Lepisosteus oculatus: one gene and its partner. The protein of the gene in region 2 interacts with the protein of the main gene of each other region in a pairwise test. Links are inferred from orthologs where the notes say so. Each region holds a gene or a part of one and is shown on either strand. Other genes may lie near its edges.

What was found.
Region 1: the proteins of mkrn2 (region 2) and rack1 interact in binary tests that used the Homo sapiens proteins (3 or more experiments, as listed by UniProt). The two-hybrid records come from large-scale screens. The link is inferred for Lepisosteus oculatus from reciprocal best matches to the Homo sapiens genes MKRN2 and RACK1.

What each region holds. Positions count from the first base shown.
Region 1 is NC_090706.1:29,976,296-29,987,252, forward strand, and holds the start of rack1 (small ribosomal subunit protein RACK1), read left to right. Parts: upstream 1-6,042; 5' UTR 6,043-6,151; coding exon 6,152-6,260; intron 6,261-7,183; coding exon 7,184-7,355; intron 7,356-8,051; coding exon 8,052-8,199; intron 8,200-8,813; coding exon 8,814-8,909; intron 8,910-9,675; coding exon 9,676-9,786; intron 9,787-10,454; coding exon 10,455-10,595; intron 10,596-10,957. UniProt on the Homo sapiens protein: Scaffolding protein involved in the recruitment, assembly and/or regulation of a variety of signaling molecules. Interacts with a wide variety of proteins and plays a role in many cellular processes.
Region 2 is NC_090699.1:62,267,426-62,278,951, reverse strand, and holds the start of mkrn2 (E3 ubiquitin-protein ligase makorin-2), read right to left. Parts: upstream 4,770-11,526; 5' UTR 4,685-4,769; intron 4,590-4,684; exon of another isoform or gene 4,367-4,589; 5' UTR 4,260-4,366; coding exon 4,234-4,259; intron 3,086-4,233; coding exon 2,957-3,085; intron 1,287-2,956; coding exon 1,132-1,286; intron 1-1,131. Other genes in the region: MKRN2 opposite strand protein, read left to right, coding at 4,847-5,049, 5,944-5,993, 6,723-6,885, 7,327-7,558; tsen2 (tRNA-splicing endonuclease subunit Sen2), read right to left, coding at 10,600-10,659, 10,879-10,968. UniProt on the Homo sapiens protein: E3 ubiquitin ligase catalyzing the covalent attachment of ubiquitin moieties onto substrate proteins.

The DNA of each region.
Region 1 (10,957 bases), on a different chromosome or scaffold from region 2:
GCTGGGTCTGCTCACTCTCTGAGACTGATCCCCTGTGTCCAGGCGCCAGGCATTGCGGAGGGGAACCCGGAGTGATCCTGCCAGGCTCTGGGCGCCAGGCTGCGAGAGAGCCCCATCCATTCACAGCAGGGACCGGACCCGGCATGTCTGAACAGTGGAGAAAACTCCGCTGAGTCTGGAGACGCCAGCAGGGGACAGACGATCACAGGACAGTGTGGCTGTGGCTGATTTCCTCTGAGAGAGACAGAAAAAGGCGGGATTCAGGACATGAGACGCAGGGCCCAGAGGTCGAATCAGAGACGTGAATCAGAGCTGTGAGACACTGGACCCAGAGGTCGAATCAGAGACATGAGACACAGAGCCCAGAGGTCGAATCAGAGACGTGAATCAGAGCTGTGAGACACTGGACCCAGAGGTCGAAGCAGAGACATGAGACACAGGGCCCAGAGGTCGAATCAGAGACATGAGACACAGGGCCCAGAGGTCGAATCAGAGACACGAGACACAGGGCCCAGAGGTCGAATCAGAGCTGTGAGACACAGGGCCCAGAGGTCGAATCAGAGACATGAGACTCTGGGCCCAGAGGTCGAATCAGAGCTGTGAGACACAGGGCCCAGAGGTCGAATCAGAGACATGAGACACAGGGCCCAGAGGTCGAATCAGAGACACGAGACACAGGGCCCAGAGGTCGAATCAGAGACACGAGACACAGGGCCCAGAGGTCGAATCAGAGACATGAGACACAGGGCCCAGAGGTCGAATCAGAGACACGAGACACAGGGCCCAGAGGTCGAATCAGAGACACGAGACACAGGGCCCAGAGGTCGAATCAGATCAGAACTCTGAAATACTTTAATGAAACAAGGACTACGCACGCTGATACACTCCCCTCTCTGATACACTCACTTCAAGAACTCTAGGTAATGTGTTTGTGTTTAAAAATTTTCTTGGACTGGCAATTAATATATTGTGGTTGCTTGAACACTGGATTTTCCACTGGGTTGTTGAAGTATCGATTCTGTCTGTCAAGGTTTCTGTCTGGCTGGCCACACACACAACCTTTAAATCAAGGGTGTCACACTCTGTTGTTGGGGTACCTGGTGACTTCAGGTTTTTTGTCCAATCTGAGTAGTCAATTAAACAATTAAGCTAATCAGTTCCCTAATTAGACATACAAAGGATTTTTCTTAAGTTTCCAGGCTGAAAAAATGCACTTCAACAAAAGTACAATTACCTCCAAAGCACCTACCTGGTTGAATGTATTAACAGAGATGGTGTTAATTAGATGAGTACCAGCTTGAATAAAAAAACGAAAACACCAGATTCTCCAGGAGCTGTGTTTCACAGTAAATAATCTGCTCAGGCCTAAGGTACCACAGAACAAAAAATCTTATTTTCTGTTACCTTAACTTAACTTAAAGTAACCTTAATAAATTAGGATAAATTAACGCATACCTTAATTTATTATTTGTACTTTGTGGGTGTAATGTTTCACTTGCTCTGTATTCTGTACTATATTTGCTGAGAATAAAGTTTTGCAGATGTGTGGTCTGGTGTGATGATCAGTGCTGCTGCCTCTCAGCACCAGGCCCTGGGTTTGATTCTGGACCAGCAATCCTTTTGTGTGGAGTTTGCATGTTCCACATGTGATCCTGAGGGTTTTCTCCCATCTGCCACAGACACGTTTCACGTTGTTTAGAGAGCACGATCTCTGGCTAATGTAGGGATTTATGAATATCTAAAGACCGTGTGTTCAATTCATATCATATGTGGGAGGACACAAGTGCAATGAAATACAAATACAAACACAAAACAGCAGCAGCAAAAACAAAGTTAAATAACATACAACTTAAATACAAATCAGCACATCAGCACAAGCCGTGTGCAAAAATAACACCAGTGTGAGTCAGAGGTAGAGGCAGAATTTAGCGATCTGACAGCTAGTGGGGGCTACAAACAGCGCCACCCGGTGTTCACACTTTGTACACACAGGTGCCAGGTTGCAGATTTCTTCCTGCAGAGCCGGAGCTCAGACCCTCAGCACAGAGGCAGTGAGGACTGCAGGCCCGTCCTCAGCTGTCAAGAGGTAGAAAACGAGTTTCCTGGGCTGGGCTCTCCAGGTGAAGAACAGCATCGTCTCACCAGGAGCTTCTGGGAGAGCAATACTGCCTCTCTCCAGCCCTGCCCTTGCCGACCCAGTGAATCTGTGAACCTGATAGGCCACAGTCCCAGAACCCTGGGTCACTGGAGTCTCCACACTGTCTCCGTCCTCTCCCAGTGACCCAGCAACACCAGTGTCCAACACACTCCAGGAACTGGGAGCACTGGAGTCTCCACACTGTCTCCGTCCTCTCCCAGTGACCCAGCAACACCAGTGTCCAACACACTGCAGGAACTGGGAGCACTGGAGTCTCCACACTGTCTCTATCCTCTCACAGTGACCCAGCAACACCAGTGTCCAACACACTGCAGGAACTGGGAGCACTGGAGTCTCCACACTGTCTCTATCCTCTCACAGTGACCCAGCAACAACAGTGTCCAACACACTCCAGGAACTGGGAGCACTGGAGTCTCCACACTGTCTCTATCCTCTCACAGTGACCCAGCAACACCAGTGTCCAACACACTGCAGGAACTGGGAGCACTGGAGTCTCCACACTGTCTCCGTCCTCTCCCAGTGACCCAGCAACACCAGTGTCCAACACACTGCAGGAACTGGGAGCACTGGAGTCTCCACACTGTCTCTATCCTCTCACAGTGACCCAGCAACACCAGTGTCCAACACACTGCAGGAACTGGGAGCACTGGAGTCTCCACACTGTCTCCGTCCTCTCCCAGTGACCCAGCAACACCAGTGTCCAACACACTGCAGGAACTGGGAGCACTGGAGTCTCCACACTGTCTCCGTCCTCTCCCAGTGACCCAGCAACACCAGTGTCCAACACACTGCAGGAACTGGGAGCACTGGAGTCTCCACACTGTCTCCGTCCTCTCCCAGTGACCGCTCCTAAAGGTAAAAATGCAGTTTAAAGCTCCTTAGAGGGTACAGAGATGGTCATGGTTTGCATAACATACAAATAGGATCCGTTTGTGGTCAAAGCTATAGGCTTGTGCTGAGATGGGAACGAGCAGGTTACCGAGCGGTAAAATCTGGAAGATAGGTAGAAAAAGTGCTGTTGTGTTACCTGATTATTTCAATTTTCCTCTTGTACACTGGAGGATTGTGGTGCAGAATCAAGAAGCTGAAATGATCATGGTTTGAGTAGTCAATAATAGCTTCTTAAGACGTGACTCTCAGACGTGACTTACTTTGTCTATCTTTTCAAAACAGCTAGGATGTAATGAAGAGAACAGAATTAACAGGACCCCCCAGAAAAGTCTGATCCCAATATGGTAACTTTTCATAGAGTTTTTTTTTTTTTAAATGTCAAAATCTGGAGTCTAAAAGGCATGTATGGAGAGTGTATAACTCTGCAGAAAGAAATTGAACCCAGGGCCCCAGCCCTAAAACACGGTAATGCTAATCTGTAAACACGGTGCTACATGTCTTCTTACACGTGCTTATTTAAGGATATACAAGACATTTCAGACTAAACGGTTATTAAATAAGAAGGAAGAGAACTCTTTATAGATAGTGTAAAAGGAGCTACAAGAGAATAAAGATAATGAACATGCTGAGATACAGATGCCACAAATCTATGCAGAGGGTTGGTTTGTGGAGCGGAAAACAGGAAGCAGGAAGCTGTCTCAGCGGGCGAAACCTTCATCGAGACAGATGGTGTACCGCTGTCGCTCCTGGATTAGAGCAACACTTCAGACTGCGGTTTAGTTAGTAAAGAAGTAAAACAAGCCCTGGTCCGAGTGTGTGTGTGCGCCCTGTGATAAACTGGCGTCCTGGCCAGTCGGTACCCCATATTCTGTCCGTTGCTTGCTGGGATAGGCTCCGGTTCCCCCGTGACCCTGAACTGGATGGATAGTAAACTAGCTCAGTTTACAATTAAATCTGAAACTATGGGACGTAGAAACGCTGATGTGAAAATGAGACAGAAATCATTTATTTTGCAGAATTAAAGCACATTAAATTTAACATGTATAATTGCAAAACGAGTCATGCGTTAAGTAGAAACGTGCTCTGTACGTGTTACTATACCTATACACTGGTGGTGGTGGAGGGGAGTCCCTATTACCTGTAAAGCGCTTTGAGTGGAGTATCCAGAAAAGCGCTACATAAGTGTAAGCAATTATTATTATTATTATTATTATTATTATTATTATTATAATACCACATTCTCTAGCCATCACATGGGTTAGTCTGAGCCCTAGTGGGATACGCGTTACAGGGTTTTATATATTCGTCTATGTGCAAAAGCGAGCACCATGCTTATGTAGAAAAAGGCTTGTATTTAAAACAGATGGGAGTTATGTTCCGACTTTGCAACTCTCCAGCAGTAGTTTTCTTATTTAAAAAATGTCGTGTTCAATGTAATAATCCGAACGAGGTCCAAACAACGGAGCGAGGGCAGGGACGATAAAGGGGTATTTAATACAGACCCCAGACACAGCTTTAGCCTTTCGGGCAGAGTTCGTGCCACAGCTGGGTTTCCGTAGTGTAGTGGTTATCACGTTCGCCTCACACGCGAAAGGTCCCCGGTTCGAAACCGGGCGGGAACAGCTGCTTTTATTTTATTACCCCTATGGAATGTGAAGTAACTCTTCCTATTAAACAAGAAATACATTAATCGTGCGTGTGAAATATGAATTTGATCCGGCATCATAATTTCCGGTGTGACATAGATTTTCGGGGGAGAATAGAAGGCAACATTTGAACATCTCATCGGAAATTAACTATAAAACCAGTAGCACAAAGTGTTGGAGGGAGAGTCGAGGAGGTTTCCGTAGTGTAGTGGTTATCACGTTCGCCTAACACGCGAAAGGTCCTCGGTTCGAAACCGGGCGGAAACACTTTTTTTGTTTGTTTTGCTGAGAAGCCTTGTAGAAGGCGCTTTTAAAATTGAATTTGAACCGTATTTCGAAGCTCAGTTCGAGCTCCAGTACCTTGAATAGCAGCGAAATGTGCTCGGTAGAGTATGTTGCTCCGTTGTCAAATATATACATTTCAAATATAGGCCTGTTTTGTTTTTAATGTTTTTTTAATAGTACCGTTATAAAATGTTCTCGTTTCCCCAGAAGTATAATTGTTAAGTACCGTTGCTGAAGTGTAATGCTGTTATATACCACTTAGACGCGTCACAGCTGTGTCAATTGCATTGAATTGTACTTCACAACTTTTACGTTTTAGAAGATTGAGGATAATTCTGTAATTTATATATTTCCAAAAAGATTGAGTTTTTTTCGTTTTTTAAAGTGCCATGATAAGAAAATGGTTCAGTGTCCCGTGTTTGAAGAGGTTAAATCTGAGAACATTCATAAATATGCCTTTGAGAAAGATTTAAAAATATACTGTAATTGTTTTTTCGGAATTGTATGATAAAAAAATTCCATATATATATCAAACGTTATCACATAAAGATATTAATTGTATTAATAGTGTGATCTACTACTGATATCGAATACAACAGCACTAAGTTTCCGTAGTGTAGTGGTTATCACGTTCGCCTCACACGCGAAAGGTCCCCGGTTCGAAACCGGGCGGGAACAATTTTTTTTTTTTTAGAGAAAAATATCAAACACTCAATTAAATAATTTTCTAATTTAGTTAGAATTTAGCATTGTAATGTCCAATTTTAGGAGTTTGAAATGTTTTTAATTAAAAAAATAAAACCCACTACCTCTGCTGCACTGACTTAAATACTGACTGTTTATGTTTGAAGAGAACTACAAAACATCTTAAGATCTTTAAACGGGAAGGGTGAAACCAACACAAAAACATTTACAGCTCAAATTATTCCTAACTCGCCACAGGCGAGGACGACTGCAAGGGAAACAATCTCAGCGCCGGGCCCTGCTCCAGCTGCCCGGCAGCTCTGTATCCAGAATGCACCGCGGACCCTCGCCTGCTCTTTTTTAGTTCTGCTTCCGGGTCGAGTCTTCCTCTTTCCTGTGCCTGTAAGCGAGAGGAGCAGGGCGGCGGTAGCCTCCGATCTCAATCTGAGTCCATCCTCCCTGAAAGGCACCGTGTATCTTCGCCAAAATGACCGAGCAGATGACTGTAAGGGGGACCCTGAAGGGTCATAATGGTTGGGTCACCCAGATTGCCACTACCCCGCAGTTTCCCGATATGATTCTGTCTGCTTCCAGAGGTAACCCGGCCGCCGCCATCATTGCCTTGGCTATTCCGGTGGTCTACGTGGTAGCGTGATTTACAGCATAAAACGTGTTATAATGCGTGAACATGAGAGTAGATTGAGGAAAGTGCTTAAATTATTTTCACGTGCCGTTTAGTAAATACAAGATCGTTTTTTTAAAGCAATGCAACATTAAAACGTGACGCCTGGACCCGAGAGAAGGTACGAGTGTCAGAGGGGGCAGACACGTGTGTTTCAGAAAGTCGTGAGGCACAGGCTGGGATCTTTTGTTTCTGCTGATGAAGGACAGAGTTGTGCAAGCGGTTCACTTCGCGCTTGTAGGCCGGCTGCGCTGTAGGGCAGCATCTCGCAGATCTTGGCGTTGGACCGAAAGGCCGCCGTGGCGCCGGGCGCGTTTCCCGGTCTGGTCAGTGGCGCTGAGGCGCTTTTTGTCCGGCTCGACGTGTGAAGTGCGTCAGACGAGTGGTCGGTAGCGGAGCCGTGTAGTTCTCGGTAGACAGTAACGTGCTTCCTTAGCGAGATGATCGCTGGGCTGTTGATGTTCTGCTAGGCCGGGAGGAAAAAGAAGTTGGGAGGCGCAATTTAAGCTTGGATCTGATTTGAAGCGGGATATGCGTTGCTTAGAGTTGGGTTCGGTCCTTAGAAATAACACTTTCTGTTAAGGCACTGGTGTTCATTTTGAAGAAATGTTAGTTCAGCGTGTGGACAACACTCAGTGCAGTTTGTACACTGCTGGGCATCCGTTCCACATGTCCTGCTTCTGCAGAGGCGCATGATGGGAGGTGAAGCTTGAGCAGTAGTCAGTAGTAGATGAGGGATGAAAAGATTAATTTTAAACCAGTGCAGTGCCTAGTGGGCAACAGGGCCTTCTCTCTTCCCTCCCCTGAGTACCTGTTTGATTGTGCTTGGGCCTCCAGACAAGTCCATCATCATGTGGAAGCTCACCCGCGATGAGACCAACTACGGCATCCCCCAGAGAGCCCTGCGTGGCCACTCGCACTTCGTCAGCGACGTGGTCATCTCCTCCGACGGCCAGTTCGCTCTGTCGGGATCCTGGGACGGCACCCTGCGCCTCTGGGACCTGACAACGTGAGTGAGCGCGGACGCAGAGAGGGCTAGGTTGGTGGGGTGGCTCTTTCACGCCCTTCCCTGCAATTATCTCCACACGCTCAATGACTGGCTGTGTTTGTCCCCATTAAGCCAGTGGTCCCTAGTCCTAGTGACCCACACACCTGTGGGTTTCCATCCTATCCCGCCTTCATTAGTTAATTCATTCCTTACACTTATATAGCGCTTTTCCTGGCAGACACTCCAGTCAAAGTGCTTTACAGATAATGGAGAATCCCACGGCTGCCACCAATGTGTACCTGAATGATGCAGCGCCAGTACTCTTGCTACACACCAGCTCTCAGTGGGGAGGAGAGCAGAGTGAAGCCAGTTCAAAGATGGGGATTTTTAGGAAGACATGAATTGTAAAGGCTAAGGGGGAGGGTGGCCAGGGCACTAGATAATTTAAGCCTTAATTGACCTAAGAAGTTCCTTTGTTTGAATATTTGCATTTTGTTTTTCCATCATGAGTTTGGGACTTTATTTCACTTGCGAAATAATAACGGTTAAAGCTCCAACACGTTTAAGACCTGGGAATAAACGGTTCAAATTAATCTTATTATAAAGTCAACAAAGGGTTTGATTGTGTCACTGGCTGGAATGGAAACCAGCATATATTGCACATCAGCTGTAAACAGGAAAACCGTCTGTAAACTGAGAATTTGCGTGTGTCTGCAGAGGCACGACTACCCGTCGCTTCGTGGGGCACACCAAGGACGTCCTGAGTGTGGCCTTCTCCGCCGACAACCGGCAGATCGTGTCCGGGTCGCGCGACAAGACCATCAAGCTGTGGAACACCCTGGGAGTCTGCAAGTACACCATCCAGGTCAGGAGGCTCGACGTGACCCGCTGGAGCGCTCTCACTCGGCCAGCATGTGCGCTCGCCTTCGCCACCTGCCCCGTCACTGTGTGCAGGGAGGCGAAAGCGCAGGGAGTTTCCACACGTGTCCCAGTGATTACACATCTCACGGTCCTATCGTCCGAGCCTTGTGGCCGTGACGACAAGTCCTGCAATTATGACGGGACGTTGTGGAAATCGGAAACGGGCTTCAGGCTTTAGCGTTTCTCAACTCGAAAGCTGCTCTGCATTGTTTTGTGGGGACTGTTCCTATAAAATGGCGAGGCCTTGATGTTTGTTAGCCTTAACGCAGTGGAATTCACAGTCGTGAAGGAGAAGTTCAAGTGGGTAGCTGTGTCCGCGTGCGTAGGCTGCAGAAGAACAAGTAAAGGTTTATTCCAGGCTGAAAAAGAAAAGGGACTTGACGTTTCGACTGTGGCGCCTTCTGCAGGTCAGAGGGCTCCACGGCGGAAGTGTTGTCCATTTTCTTTTCAGCCTGGGATAAAGCTTGACTTGCTCCAATGAAGGCGGAGGGCAGCAGAAGAGCAGTAGTGGGTATTGAGGTTGACTGACCCCTTGCATTTTGATGCTCTGTGTTGTAGGATGAAAGCCACACTGAATGGGTCTCCTGCGTGCGCTTCTCCCCTAACAGCAGTAACCCCATCATCGTCTCCTGTGGCTGGGACAAGATGGTCAAGGTACTCGTCGACCAGCTGGAAACAGCCTTCTAGACTAGGACCCTACATCTGATCCGGGGAAACTGCAGGCTATTGGAGTGATTGCAGTCTATAGGCGACACGTCTACCGTGTTGGATGGCTAATGGCTCTTCAAGGGAACTTGTCCCAAACTCCCATAGTCCTCTATGCAAAATGTGCCTCTTAAATATAGTTTCCACTTGCACATTTTTGATTTTGAGAAGTGGGTCCCCTATTAATCGTCTCAGGATTCCAACTTGGTCACTGTACAAAGTTCCTGTGGGCACAGGAGAGAACCTGCACTGATTACAGAGCGGCAGTGTCGCCTTTCTGCAATAATTAACCTTTAGAAAAGTGTTCCTTTTGGAATTTTAACAGTCTTGGATTCAATTATATAATTTTGCCCATTACTGCAGTTTGTCTTTCATTTTCTGCCGTCTTGTTCAGGGTGTGCACATTTCTATTATGCTTGTTCAAGACATGGGGAATACCTTTAGTCAGAAACTGGTCATTTAAATGACTATTACGGCACATTTATTTTTTTGGGGGGGAGCTCAATAGGCTTTGTTTCCATGTACATCCCAATGATTACACAGTTCATGGTCCTATCGTCCGAACTCTGAGGTTGTGACGACAAGTCCTGCAATTATGATGGGATGTGCCTATGGAACATCAGCAGTCTTGGTCAAGTGTTCAGCTCATTGCGGACTGGAAACAGCAGAAATACCTGTGAGTGGAATCCTGAGTGTTTAAAAAATGTATTTCTAGGTTTGGAACCTGGCTAACTGCAAGCTGAAGACCAACCACATCGGACACACGGGCTACCTGAATACCGTCACTGTCTCTCCAGATGGTTCTCTGTGCGCCTCTGGGGGAAAGGTAACTGAAATCCCTGCAGCTGGCAGAGGGGGTGGGAGTGAAAATCTGTCCATGCTCTAGTTTCTGGAACTGGACAACCCTGAAGTCAACCCTGCAGACTGCAAGTACATGTCACAGTCTGGTGGTGTTAATGCAGTGGTTTCGTGATGCTGTTCTTGTGAAAATGTATTGCTTCAGCTCCTCTTAGGCTGTGAAAGCAGTGTGATTTGCTCTTGTAAACCATGCTGTGCTTCATTTAACTGATGTGACCCGAAGAACTTGGTGCACAAGTGTTTTCTGTAAGGCAAGTGCAGGGTGTTTGTAAGAGTGGCAGGGGAAAGATTGTTCCTACATGAAAATCTGTTTTGTCTTCATGCTGTGATGGAAACATTCACTGCCATCTGTTTCATTTGGTGATGATAAAGAGGCTGTTTCTGAGCACGTTTCTGAGTTTGGGTACATTCCCTTCATTTGACTGCATTCTGTTTTTTTTTTATGCAACCACTTGGAAGAGTTAATCAGATGGTTTAAAATAGAACACCAAGAAGCATGCATCCTTTATTGATTTTTGTTTTTAGATTTAGTAAGTTAAACTTGAGCCCCTCAGGCTGGTTGATGAGAAAGCTGAGCAGATCCAGCCTGCGCTGTCCGCCTGTCCTAACCTTTCCTCTCGCACCCGGGCGCTGCAGGACGGGCAGGCGATGCTGTGGGACCTGAACGAGGGCAAGCACCTGTACACCCTGGACGGCGGAGACACCATCAACGCTCTATGCTTCAGTCCCAACAGATACTGGCTGTGCGCCGCCACTGGCCCCAGCATCAAGATCTGGGTAAGGCTTGAGCACGCACTGGGGTGGGGAAGAGCCTCGGATATCGGTGGCCTTTCTTTGGGCTGATCACTGCAATCATCCTGGAAGGTTTCTGTATTCATGCTGCACACAGTACCAGTGTTCTTGTTTAACCAGGGTTTAGAGCTGTGTGTTAATGTCTCGAAGCCTAAGAGCTTTCATTTGTCTTTTCTCGTCAGTGTGGGATAAAGTTGATCTCTGTTGTTGTAAGTGGGATTTGCTTGGTAAATGTCCTGGTAGGGGAGGAAAAAAAAGTCTGTTTTCAAAGCTTGTGCGGAAATCCAGTGAATTGAACAAAAGCTTTAGTGAAGTGATTTCTGTCCGCTGCCATGTTGCACAGCAGG
Region 2 (11,526 bases):
ATTAACAAGACCTCATAAAAACCCATTATTTGGGTGTGTGAGTGAACATAGACTGGGATAAACTTGAGTGTCAAGTAATATCAAAGCTTACACAAAATTCCATATACTCATAGGTCATTTAGTTTACCTTGACATTTACACACATGTGACATAAATATCACTGCTAAACACCTAACAATGAGAAAAACACTAACATAAGAAATGAATTTAAGAAATACATTCTTTTAATGAAATCCGAGGTCATAAAATGACGTGAGGACCATCGCACATGTTGTATATCAACCATCCATATTGTAGCAATAAAAGAAAACCTAAAAATATTTTTTAATTCATACAGGAACCCTTATCTTCAAACAGACCACTTTAAAAATAGCTGAAAACTACAGTATGTCTCAGGCACAGTGCTTCAGATTCAAATGACGTTATGATGCCTAGTGTCAGATATTAAACCATTAAAGGAATTAGAAACAAACTCATTTTTACAACTGATAAAACTACAGATTTCAACAAATGCAGAAAATGCCTTAAACTTGATATACATTTACCATATATAAGACAGGGTAGCTTATGCTCCTAAGAGTACAAAAAATGGTATCGAGTAGTAATAATAATTCAGTCTTGGTCAGGGGTGAACCAGGATTTTTTTATTTTTTTGATTCGTCAGTTTGCAGTGCATAACCACTGCTTACCAGAAAAGGGTCAATTACAACAAACTGCTGAGGAGGTTAAGGGACCAAAAAAGCTTAACGATTTTTTCTCCTTTATAGCCACCGTAAATTCCAGAGTGAAACCACTTTGAGACTGTCTAAACAGCCACCAAATAGAAACATAAACACACCAGCTGCAATATGTTACTCACATATACCAAAACCAGAACAATTCGTTAAAACTAGCTGGCGGGCTCACCCTTTAGGGAAGAAGTGTGACACTAGACTTGTGTGATAAAATTGCTGGCCCTCTGTTTCTTTAACACCTCTCCCAAAATTCAAAGATTACTCTGCAAGACAAGAGGGGCTGGCTGGCCGTCGGATGACGAAACAAAAGTACAACTTTAAACAAATGTGCGTGCACGCACACTCGTATCAGTCCAGGCTGCTCTGAAGCCAAAAGCTCCTGCAAGAGATGTGTTACCTCTGTCTCTCAAGACTAAGGATCTTTTCCCACGTCTCCCAGAGCCTGCTGGGGGGATGGCTCCTGCAACTGCAGCCAGACCACTGCAGCTCTTCTCGGTGAGATCTCCGGGGGCACCTGCCCCCCTTCCAGCAGCTGTCTTAATATGATCATACCTACAAAACACACAACATGCAATAAGAAGAATGTGTTGCTTTGGAAAGGTTTTAAAAGCACTGTTAAACAATCTTAGGGAGCGTTCGAGATGAACATCAGGAGTCATCCTGACACAGAATACTGCAATAACTTGGAACCAGATCCTTGGCCACATCACTGTATTAAGGTAGACACCACAGGGTCATTAAAGAGATGGATCGATCAAATTCTCAATTACTAGCAACCAAGCGAACAGGGTGAGTTAAAGCCAGCCTATTCTATTTCTTTGTTCATATTTTCTTGGACTGTGTGACAATACACTGAACGCTAAACGATAATAAAACGAAGATCGTCACGATTTCTTTTCTGTTTGTCAGACGATTTTCTAAAACATACATAAATTTAGGATGGAATGAGTGTTCAAAACGGAAAATGTGAATAATATCACATCGGTGTAAGCTAGCATTACAGGAAAGCCACACACTATTGATCTTATACTGATGGTTGGTAGTAGCAGTATCACTGCCTTTTAAAGATTCTTAACCTATATATTTTAGTCGTGGGGCTAAAAACAACTCATCTTCTAATTTTATGGCATATAATATGAGAAGGGATCATTTGAAAAATCATACTGGAATTAAATAAACTCTGAAGCCTTGCTTACCAAAATTCTTTATCTATTTTTGGAAATCTATAAAGGGGTCAAGATGATAGGAGGCAAATGTTTATTAAACGGACTTGTCTTCCGAAAGAAATTGATTGGCATCACCATTTAAAACTCTGAAGAAAAAATCAGGATGAACTACCGACAGCTTTTTTTAAGAATTAAAAATCACAGATTAAAAAAACAAACAAATTATCTTTAGAAAGACATTTTAATAGCAAACACAATATTTATCTGCAAACTGCAAATAAAAAAACACATGACTCAAGGTTGTGATAAAAACGCAGAAAAATAATCGTCGTCAACTTAAATCTACATTTACATTAGCGGATGATTAAAAAGTTAATCGATTCAAACAAGCTGAATGCTCTTCTTTTCATTCTATTTTATTGCTCCTTTCTTCCCATGCCTTAGCAAGTCGGAATATACGAACGTCCAGAATGGCACTGAGGGGAAATCTGGTACAGCTATAACCTAGAAAAAAATCATTCAATACATTTTATCGAACGGCAATAAGATCTCAGGTCTATTGGGGGGGTAAAAACATCCAATTGCTAGAGGGTTTCTCCTATGTGCTGCTTACCACTTGCCATAGGAAGCTTTTCTCTCTACAAAAACAAGTGTTCCCCTTGACAAGACAAATATGACATCTTAGAATATTGCACTACATGCACCGCAACGCTAAGACATTTGGCACATGATGGCGGGACCTCACAGAATAGTCCTGTGAGCACCAATAGTAAAACATCACCATTGTCGACCTAAGTGTACGCGATTAATTCATGGCGTGTAACGCATCATTTCAGTGATGCTAGCGCCCTCTGGTGTGAAGAGTCATTTTAGCACACGTTCTCTTTCGTCAGATTTGTCATCTCGCTGAATATTATTGCTCGTATTGGCATAGTTATAATGACAGTTATTCGAAGTCAATGAATTCTGTAGGCCTCTTGTGTTTCAGAATTACTTTAAAGGGATCGAATGATTGTTAAAAAAAAACTGACAGGGTTACTGACAAGAACTTTCTACCTGCAGCGATCTCCGTATGCACACTGCCCTTTTTGGTAAAACTTGCAGATCGTCGAGGGTTTGCTTGTAGTCAAATCGTGCGAAAACATACATCGGGTCCCCTCGCGGCAAACGCCATGCAAGAAATACCTACAACGGAGACAAACAGCAGTCATGATGAGCTGTACGAGGAGCGGAAAGTTAGATTTTTGAACGCTTTAATAAAAGCACATGCATTCCACATAATGCATCCCACATGAACACACATTGCACATTTCTGGGGAACAAATGTCATTTAAAATATCTCCCTCCGCAAGACCATTAATTTTTTACATCCATTTGTTTTTGGAGAAAGCATCGATTTACAGATCACGGGAAGTGTTTTATTCTCAATCAGGATTACTTTCTTAGTGGGGTTATATCCTACTCTAAAATGCACCACCGTTAATGGTGTGATCTCTGATGACCAGGAAGAACCCTTAATGTATTGTTGTCGTTATCGGGTTACTTCTACCGCTATTGTGCACGTCTTGGTAGAGTACTGGAAGAAAAGATCATAAAAAAAAAACATTTTGCCCACAATAAGAAAAACCCACTTTTTACAAAAAACGACCGGTTGATAAAACTGGTCAGAGAAAGTCTGACCTTTGATTTTAATGCTTTACAGAATTAGAACTGATTACCTAGGTTAAACGATTTGAAGAGGTGTATTTCTTTTTCTATTCTTCATTTAACCAGAGAAAACAGCTGAGAATAAATTCTCGTTTGCAAACGACGTCACGGAGAGCACTGACAAACACAGCAGTGTCTGAAAACAATTTCAATGGACCTGTAGTGTACAACAACAGTAGCTCCTCGCTTCTGATCCTCGAGCTTAAAGCTTAAGTATTTCACAGATCTAAAAGCAAATTCTGACATTGTTAAGGTAACAACACTTAACAGGTAATAAAACAGCCCAAAAAGCCACTGTAACTCTTCCATAGTGTCTACTCATTCTACTTGTTTCAGAAGGTCTCCTTACTCATTTTAGATTGCCTGATCAAATTGGATGAAAAAAAAATCATAATGAAGACACTGTCAACCACTATCAACGATAGTGATTTGATTCTCCTTTTCCATTAGAAAACGTATAACGTTACAGTGCTTAAATTATTGATGGTCAAGTAAACGACACGCCATAACGTCACTTTAGAACTCTGCTCTCAAGCATGTCATTTTCAGAATATGAGAGCTAAACTCTTTTTAAATATGGACGTGTAAAATGTATATCTAAAACAAAGAAAAACAGCAATTTTTACCTGCAGGTGACTTGCTTAGTAGTCATGTTCTGTCTTCCATAAGGGTTACAGAATTGTACCTCCTCCAGATACTTTGGGTGCACGCTTCAATTACATCCCCCCGGAACAAGGAACTGCAACCAAGGGTTCCGATCTTAAAAAAACAAACAGCCTGTTTGACTTTTAAGTGGGAAATAATAGTCATGGAAAAATAAATGTGTAATCTACAGCAACTGTCGTTTATGAAAGTGGCCTAACAGTGGAATTATGTACCCGTCACAGGACTTTGCTAACGCGATTTAACGCACACTACAACATTACACTACAGTCACCCCCACCGCACTCGTATCTACAGACGCTTCGTTAGAATAAGCCATAATTAAAACGGTCCGGTAAAACACTGTTTTGTGTCGAACACACTCCATGCAATTTCACCGTCTCTTATAACCACAGAGAGAGAGAAAAAACACACCCGCTATGTAATTAAAGGTTTGCGTGCAGCCAGTCATCGCGTCAATGAAGTGACATCACACAGCCGTAGGAAGGACCTGCTCTCTGATCTCTAAGGTGCGATCTGTTACTTTGTCACTGCCTGACACTCGGTTTTGCCTCAGTGTGTCCGCGGCTGCTCCAAATGGAGAAGGCAGTTATCAAATTCCACCACTGTGACAAGGACATTTACTGTTTTTTCGTCCCAGAGAACTGCCCCGAGTGCGGCGAAAGTCTGAGCTGCCGGCGGTTTGAAGAGGCACCGGTTAGCATCCCTAGTCCCTTCGCGGGCGGACAGAGAGCCAAGTGCTCGTTCCTCGTCAAGCCCACGACAGGGGAATTTCTCAGGTGAGATCGCTTTAGCGGTGCGGCAGATTTTGTTTTGTTTTCTGTCGACCGTGATTCACTCACAGGCGTGTGTCAGGGAAAAGGGAAAATGAGCACAACCTCTATTTCAGGAACTGAATGTTCTGTTCAAAGGCACTGTATGCCGCAATTAACTCCTTAGTAAACAACAACAAAAAAGCAGTTTCTATTAAATGAACAATACTCCGTTAATTGCTTCGTTGAACATCGGCAAGAACAGTCCACGTCCTATCGCCTTCGAGTTGAAGACATCAGTTGTGATTTCTCAGAGAGAGCCAGGACGTTTCAGATTTTTCTGTTCAAGATTTTTTCCCCCAACATTTTGTAGAACCCTGTTCGAAAGTTGTTCTGCAGCAGATTCAGACGTCTACTGTACCGAATGCCAGGGTCACGTCGTTTGAAATTAATCAAAATAACCTGTAGTTTTTGTCAAATGGGACGGTAATGTGTTGTAGAAATAATTTAGTCATTATCAAGTCCACCAGTTGAATTCCAGTACATCTGCATTTTGTATTTACAATAAAATACCCTTCTAAATGGATGAACGTGTAGAGGGAAGAAAAAAAACACTAGTCAAGGGACAATAGAGTAATTTGGATTTGACTGGCAACTTTGACGGATTTGCTATTAGTACTGTAACAGTACATATTGTGGTCACGTAAGGTACACTTTGAGCTGTTCAGATCACGTTTTTGAAGATTCAAATGAAAAAAAAAACAACGTGAAAAAATCAGTTGTTCCTCTCAAATTGAGATGTATGAGGAATGGTGAAAAGTTGTAGCAGAAAGCAACATAGCTGGCTTTGAGTGAGTTGTCAATTTTCACAACGTGTAGTTATTTCTACGATGTTTTGTTCAAAGTTTCTTACTTCCACAGAGAGTATGACGGAAGATCAGATCTTCACGTTGGAATCACCAACACTAAAGGTACTGTACAGTGTATTTTGAATGCACCACAATTATTGAATTTATTCCACAGTGATGGAATATCACAGGAAACAGTTTCAGACTTGCAGAAGTTCAGTGGGTTAGTATGTTCTGTAGTTGACGCAGTAGTGGGAAAGGAGTATGAAATGGGACAACGGCAGTGTGAAAATAATTTACGTGCAGGCAGCAGCAGATAAAAAGATGTGCAAGTGCTTTCGAAAGCGGATGAGGTCACATTTGGTTATGAAATTATTAGGGGGAGTAATCATGCCTACAATAGGTTCCCATTTTTTTATAAAAAATGGAAAACAAAAGGTTACTAGTCAGTTTGTATGACTACCTAAATAACGCTTACATAATCTCACAGAAACCTAACTTTTGATTTGCATTCAAAACAACAGAACCTCTTCATCTATTGTATAATGTGTACAAAAAATGCTAATCATCCATGGGTCATTATATCTTATGGAGTCCTTAACAGTTTGCTAAGTTATGAAAAGTAGATGGTGTCCTTATTATTAGAAATGTTTTAATTCTTACTTTATTTCATGCAATTGGAATACATTTATCAATTTAGAGGGTTTACCTTTTAAAAATCAGTATATTAACATTTTTATATTGATACTTTCAGCCACCTGTACTGTTCTCAGTGTATGAACACGTGTATTACTAACATTTAAAACACTCAACAGCTCGGAGGCTGCATGAAGATCTGTGTGTTCCTTGCAGGTGTAGTTTATAACTACAATGAGACTGGCATCTGTAGAGATGAGCTGGGGTGGGATCAGTCTGTCAGTGTTCCCCTGGTCCAGCCTGACATGTACAGTTTGATAAATCAGTGGGATTGCTACCTGGAGCAGTTCTCTTCCGCAGAGATGTGGCATTCACAAAGGTATTTCTTTCAAAAAAACAGATTTTTAATGAAAAATCCACACTACTTCAAAATACTAAGTGACATGAATAAAGTTGGACTATGGGAGTTTATGCAGAAAGACTGATTCACTGCAGTTTAATTTAGACAAAGAAACATTTAGCACAACACATGGAATATCAGAATGTTTGTCATTTCAACAAAGACTAACTTTTACATGTTTTCATAAGTTTCAATGTTTGTTTTCCTCTTCACTTCTGTTAATGTGTTGTTTGGCAAAATATTGTTTCATAGGGTTTGCAAAATTTAGAAACTGAGATTATAGTGAGGAGTTAAGTTTAAGCTTTACGTTGTGTATGAGACACTTCAAAAATAGTTTTATAGAATGTACATAAAAAGATACAAAATAAAATCAAGTAAGAAGTTTCTTTTACTTTGATAACTTTTCCTTATCATTTACAGATACAATGAAACAGAGCACAACTGCTATACATATGCTCTCACTTTTATCAACTGTGTGCTGGCCACACAGGGAAAGAGCAGCCTGAGCAAGACTGAATTCACAGAAAAGTTTGTTCTTCCAAGAACCAAGAGAGCATCCAGGTACATCACCCTCTACCAGGAAATTTCTGAAAACTATTTTTACATCGTGGATGGTTCTCAGAAAGAAGGAGATGACACCAGCTACGTCTGAACCTGCTTGACTCAGAGTGGTTCACTGAAAACATAAATGGCCTGATTTGAAATACATTTGGCTAATTGAAAGGTGAGGGAAATTTTGTCCTTCAGTTTTGACACCAGGCCACCAGCTGCTCCATCACACGTGCTTTAAATGTTTTTTTTTCCCACATCAGAATTTTATGTTACTGTATTTACGGTTTGTAAAATGGTACATGTATATGGAATTAATTAGTTTTTGATGCCTTTTCTCTCTCTGAAGGCCATTGCAATATTAGGAATTTTACTGTATATAAATTACAGGGCAAGAGGTGTGTGACTTGATTGAGGTTTGAGTGCATGTGATGGAATTTCTTCACAATACTGTAAGAAGTATGCAGAATTCAGTTTATTTTTCAATGGTTCTGTGACACCATTTGATAACTGTGGTTTTCTGCTGAGTTTCAGAAACATGTAGAAGTAAAAGGCTGGATACTGCAGCTTCCATTGTCAAGCAGAAAGAGCAGCTGAAATGAAGACACAATGCAGTTGTGCTAGGATGCACAGAGAGCTCTGAGCCGGGTCACTTTAAAATTTGTCATTCAAAAATGTTCAAACTGTTCAGAATAAAATCATACATGTACCTGGATGGGAGACCTCCTGGGAAGCTAAGGTTGCTGCTGGAAGTGGTGTTAGTGTGGGTCATAAAGCCCCCGGTATAGTGGCGGGGACACTATACTGTAGTGGATGCCGTCTTTCGGATGAGACGTTAAACCGAGGTCCTGACTCTCCGTGGTCCTTAAAGATCCCCAGGCTTTTCAGGATAGTGTAGGGGGTTATCCCGGTGTCCGGGCCAAATTTACCCCCTCTGCCTTTACCGTGGCCTCCAAATTGTCCCCATGTGTGACTGGCTTGCACTGGCCCTGCGATGGACTGGTGTACCCTTGTCTTGTGCTCATTGCTTGCTTGGGTAGGCAAATGACATGACATGGATCTGGAGTTATTTTAGGATTGTTTTTGAAACAGGATGCAATTAATTTTCTGTAGCAATGCCTTTGTCCTGTGCTAGTAAAAAAGGTGGCAAACGTACACAACAAAAGAAAAATACAACCGAGTGTCACCACAACGAAGCGCTGAGCCGCTGAACTGTCATGCATCAAGGAGCGTTGCTGGAAGGAGAGTGAGGTATGGTGAAAGAAGCAATTAGCAATCATACAAACACCACAGTCTGGTCATCTGAGCAAGTTGTTTCATCAAAAAGACAAATAGTTATATCTGCTCACTTTTATAGTATTTTGAGGTGCTCCGTTATATTGAAATAAAATGTAATGTATTCTATTCTAAGCGCAGTGTTCTATCTGGGATAGCTAATTTTCTCTGTACAGCATTCTATCTGCTATGAGCGGGAGGAAAATAGGAAATTTCCACAATTTTATTGATTTGCAAATGGCTAAAAGATCTAATTCTTCTTTTTCCAAAGACCACAGACTGAAGAAGCAGGCTTATTGGAAATAGGCAACTTCCTAGTTAAAAATAACAGTTATATAACATAATAATGTTAATATAATATATAAGTTAAATAATAATGACAATGTTTTGAATTTACCATTTTAAATAAAAGCTGGTCCATTTCTAAAAAAAGCTGCACATGATGGAGATAGTTTTGATTATGATCAGTAATTCACCTCTATCCTTGGATCACTTCACACATGAAGGACACAAAGCTCTAAAATTACAGTAAGGGTTCCTTTGTTGTCTACAATGACACCTGAGTTCTATATACTGGGCATGTGTGTTTTGACAATGAATAACCTTATGGCACAAGCAGCTCTCCTAATCTTCCAACTGCGTATCAGTTTTCACAAGTTTCCGTTGAGTGAGTTCAAACCAATTAAGTTTGATTTCACTCAAATGGTCAATTAGGCTTAACGGATTACTATTAAATATAGATGGAGAGATAAAGTGTCCAGGATATGCTGAAACCGAGATACCTTCCTGGTAGCAGAAGTGTAGGTAAACTATGTTTTGTTCATAACCTTGTTTTGTCTTTTCCTCACAAATGTTCATCTGTTTTACACTGAATTGCACAAAAAAATGCATTTTAATTTAATTGTCAGTTTGATTTTCCAATTGTTTTTTCTATACTTAATGTGTTCAAATGTATAAGAATAAAATTAACAATTTACAAGGAATATCTTTCTTTTTTAAGGGCAAGCAGTTATAATTACTTATGTAAAGCACTATGGAAGAAATTCAATTGTACACTCATTGCATTGATTTCCATTGGTCTTCCCTAAACTGAGCCCTAATAAGGATTACACAGCAGCAAATGGCTGCTACCTTTGATTTTATATATACAAAAGAAGAATTAGACCTCTGTTAGGATGATTCTGCTTTCTGGCATTCTTAATGTTATTTGAATCAATAACATCCACTGAGTTGTTATTGACTGAGTGCACTTCCTCAGTCTAGTTTACCCTTGTTTCCAGGTCTTTACTAATTGGTGATTATAAGTTACTAAGAAAAAGTGAGACTAATACATAGAAAGAAACATTACAAAATGCAACAAATGCTATTGGTTCCAGTATCTGTTGCATTTTTAAGTATTTTTCAAACATTAACACAGGTAACAAGACAGTTTGTTTTACTTTAGTTTACTTCAAGCACAAAAATAATACTGTAGGTTCTCCCAAGATCCCAAATAGTTTTCAAGCTTGAGAATGGAAAACAAACACAGAAATCTCAACTTGACTTTAGATAAAAAGACCATTTTGTCACAAATTTAATGCATTTGGCCTGCACAGAAGTGAAGCAAGTTGACATATAAACAATCCTCATACAATGTCACAATTTTTAACAGACTCAGACTAAGAACCGATCAGCAGGGTTTATGCTGGTAGGGAATCACATTTATTTATGTAGTAGGCGTTCATTGCAGGATTTAGTTTTAAATAAACATTAAGGAATGTGAAAAACGACAGACAAAATATGCTTTTGTGTGTGCTCGCCATCAGGAAAAGTTGCATCTCACATGAGCTTCAGAGTTGACTGAAACGAACCGCAGTTATTGCTTCGGAGCTATATCTCCTCTTGTTCTGTATGGTCTCGAGAAGATATCCACCTGCTCACAATAATCTCCTGAAATATCAAAATACATTAATAAGAAAAAAATCTCTTCATAAGAAACACTGGAAGATTTACACAGAGATATCCTTTTCTCTGTTCTCTGTAACTCTCATTATTCGGTATTTCCTTTAATCAGAGAGATACCCGTCAACCAGTAATTCTGTTTTTAGACTAAAAGGACCTATTTTGATCCTGAAAGGATTATTTAAATTGGAATAGAAATCTTCCCACCTGAACCTTGATCCTTTTCATGCAATCAGGGGTGGACATGTCTTCTTCTGTCATATCCAAAGGCCTGATGACATAGCATAGCAGCAGTTCCTGAGAACAATTGAAGCAAGTTGTATCAGAAAATGCCTTATCGGCTGGCAAGTTTAAATTAATAACAAAACAGCTTTTATCTTTAGGCAATAGCTTAAAGATAACAATATTTTTAAAAAATGTTTTGTAATTTTCCAATATATTTGTAATCTAAATATTGGTGTTTAATTGAGACATGCAAAAATATTTACTTCTTTTGTTTTCCAGCCTTTTGTTTTATTTGTATAGTTTATTATACAGTAGGTAACCTAAGACAACTAATAGATTGCACATCTTTGCTCACTCATTCTATAAAAGTGAAGTTTTCAGACATGACCAGATGGTCTGCAACTTAAGGTACCTTATATCCAAAAGGAAAAAAAGTATATCTTAGGGCAGTCATATTCACTTCTGGTCCAGGAGGCCTGAACCACACATGGTATTACAGACAACTGAAAATCCTCAATGAGTAAAGACCTGGACACTATGGTAATATAGAACATACTTGATTATTCAATAAGTCACCAAGTGTCCAGAGTGGAACCGACACCTGAAGACACAGTAGCCCTCTGGGACTAG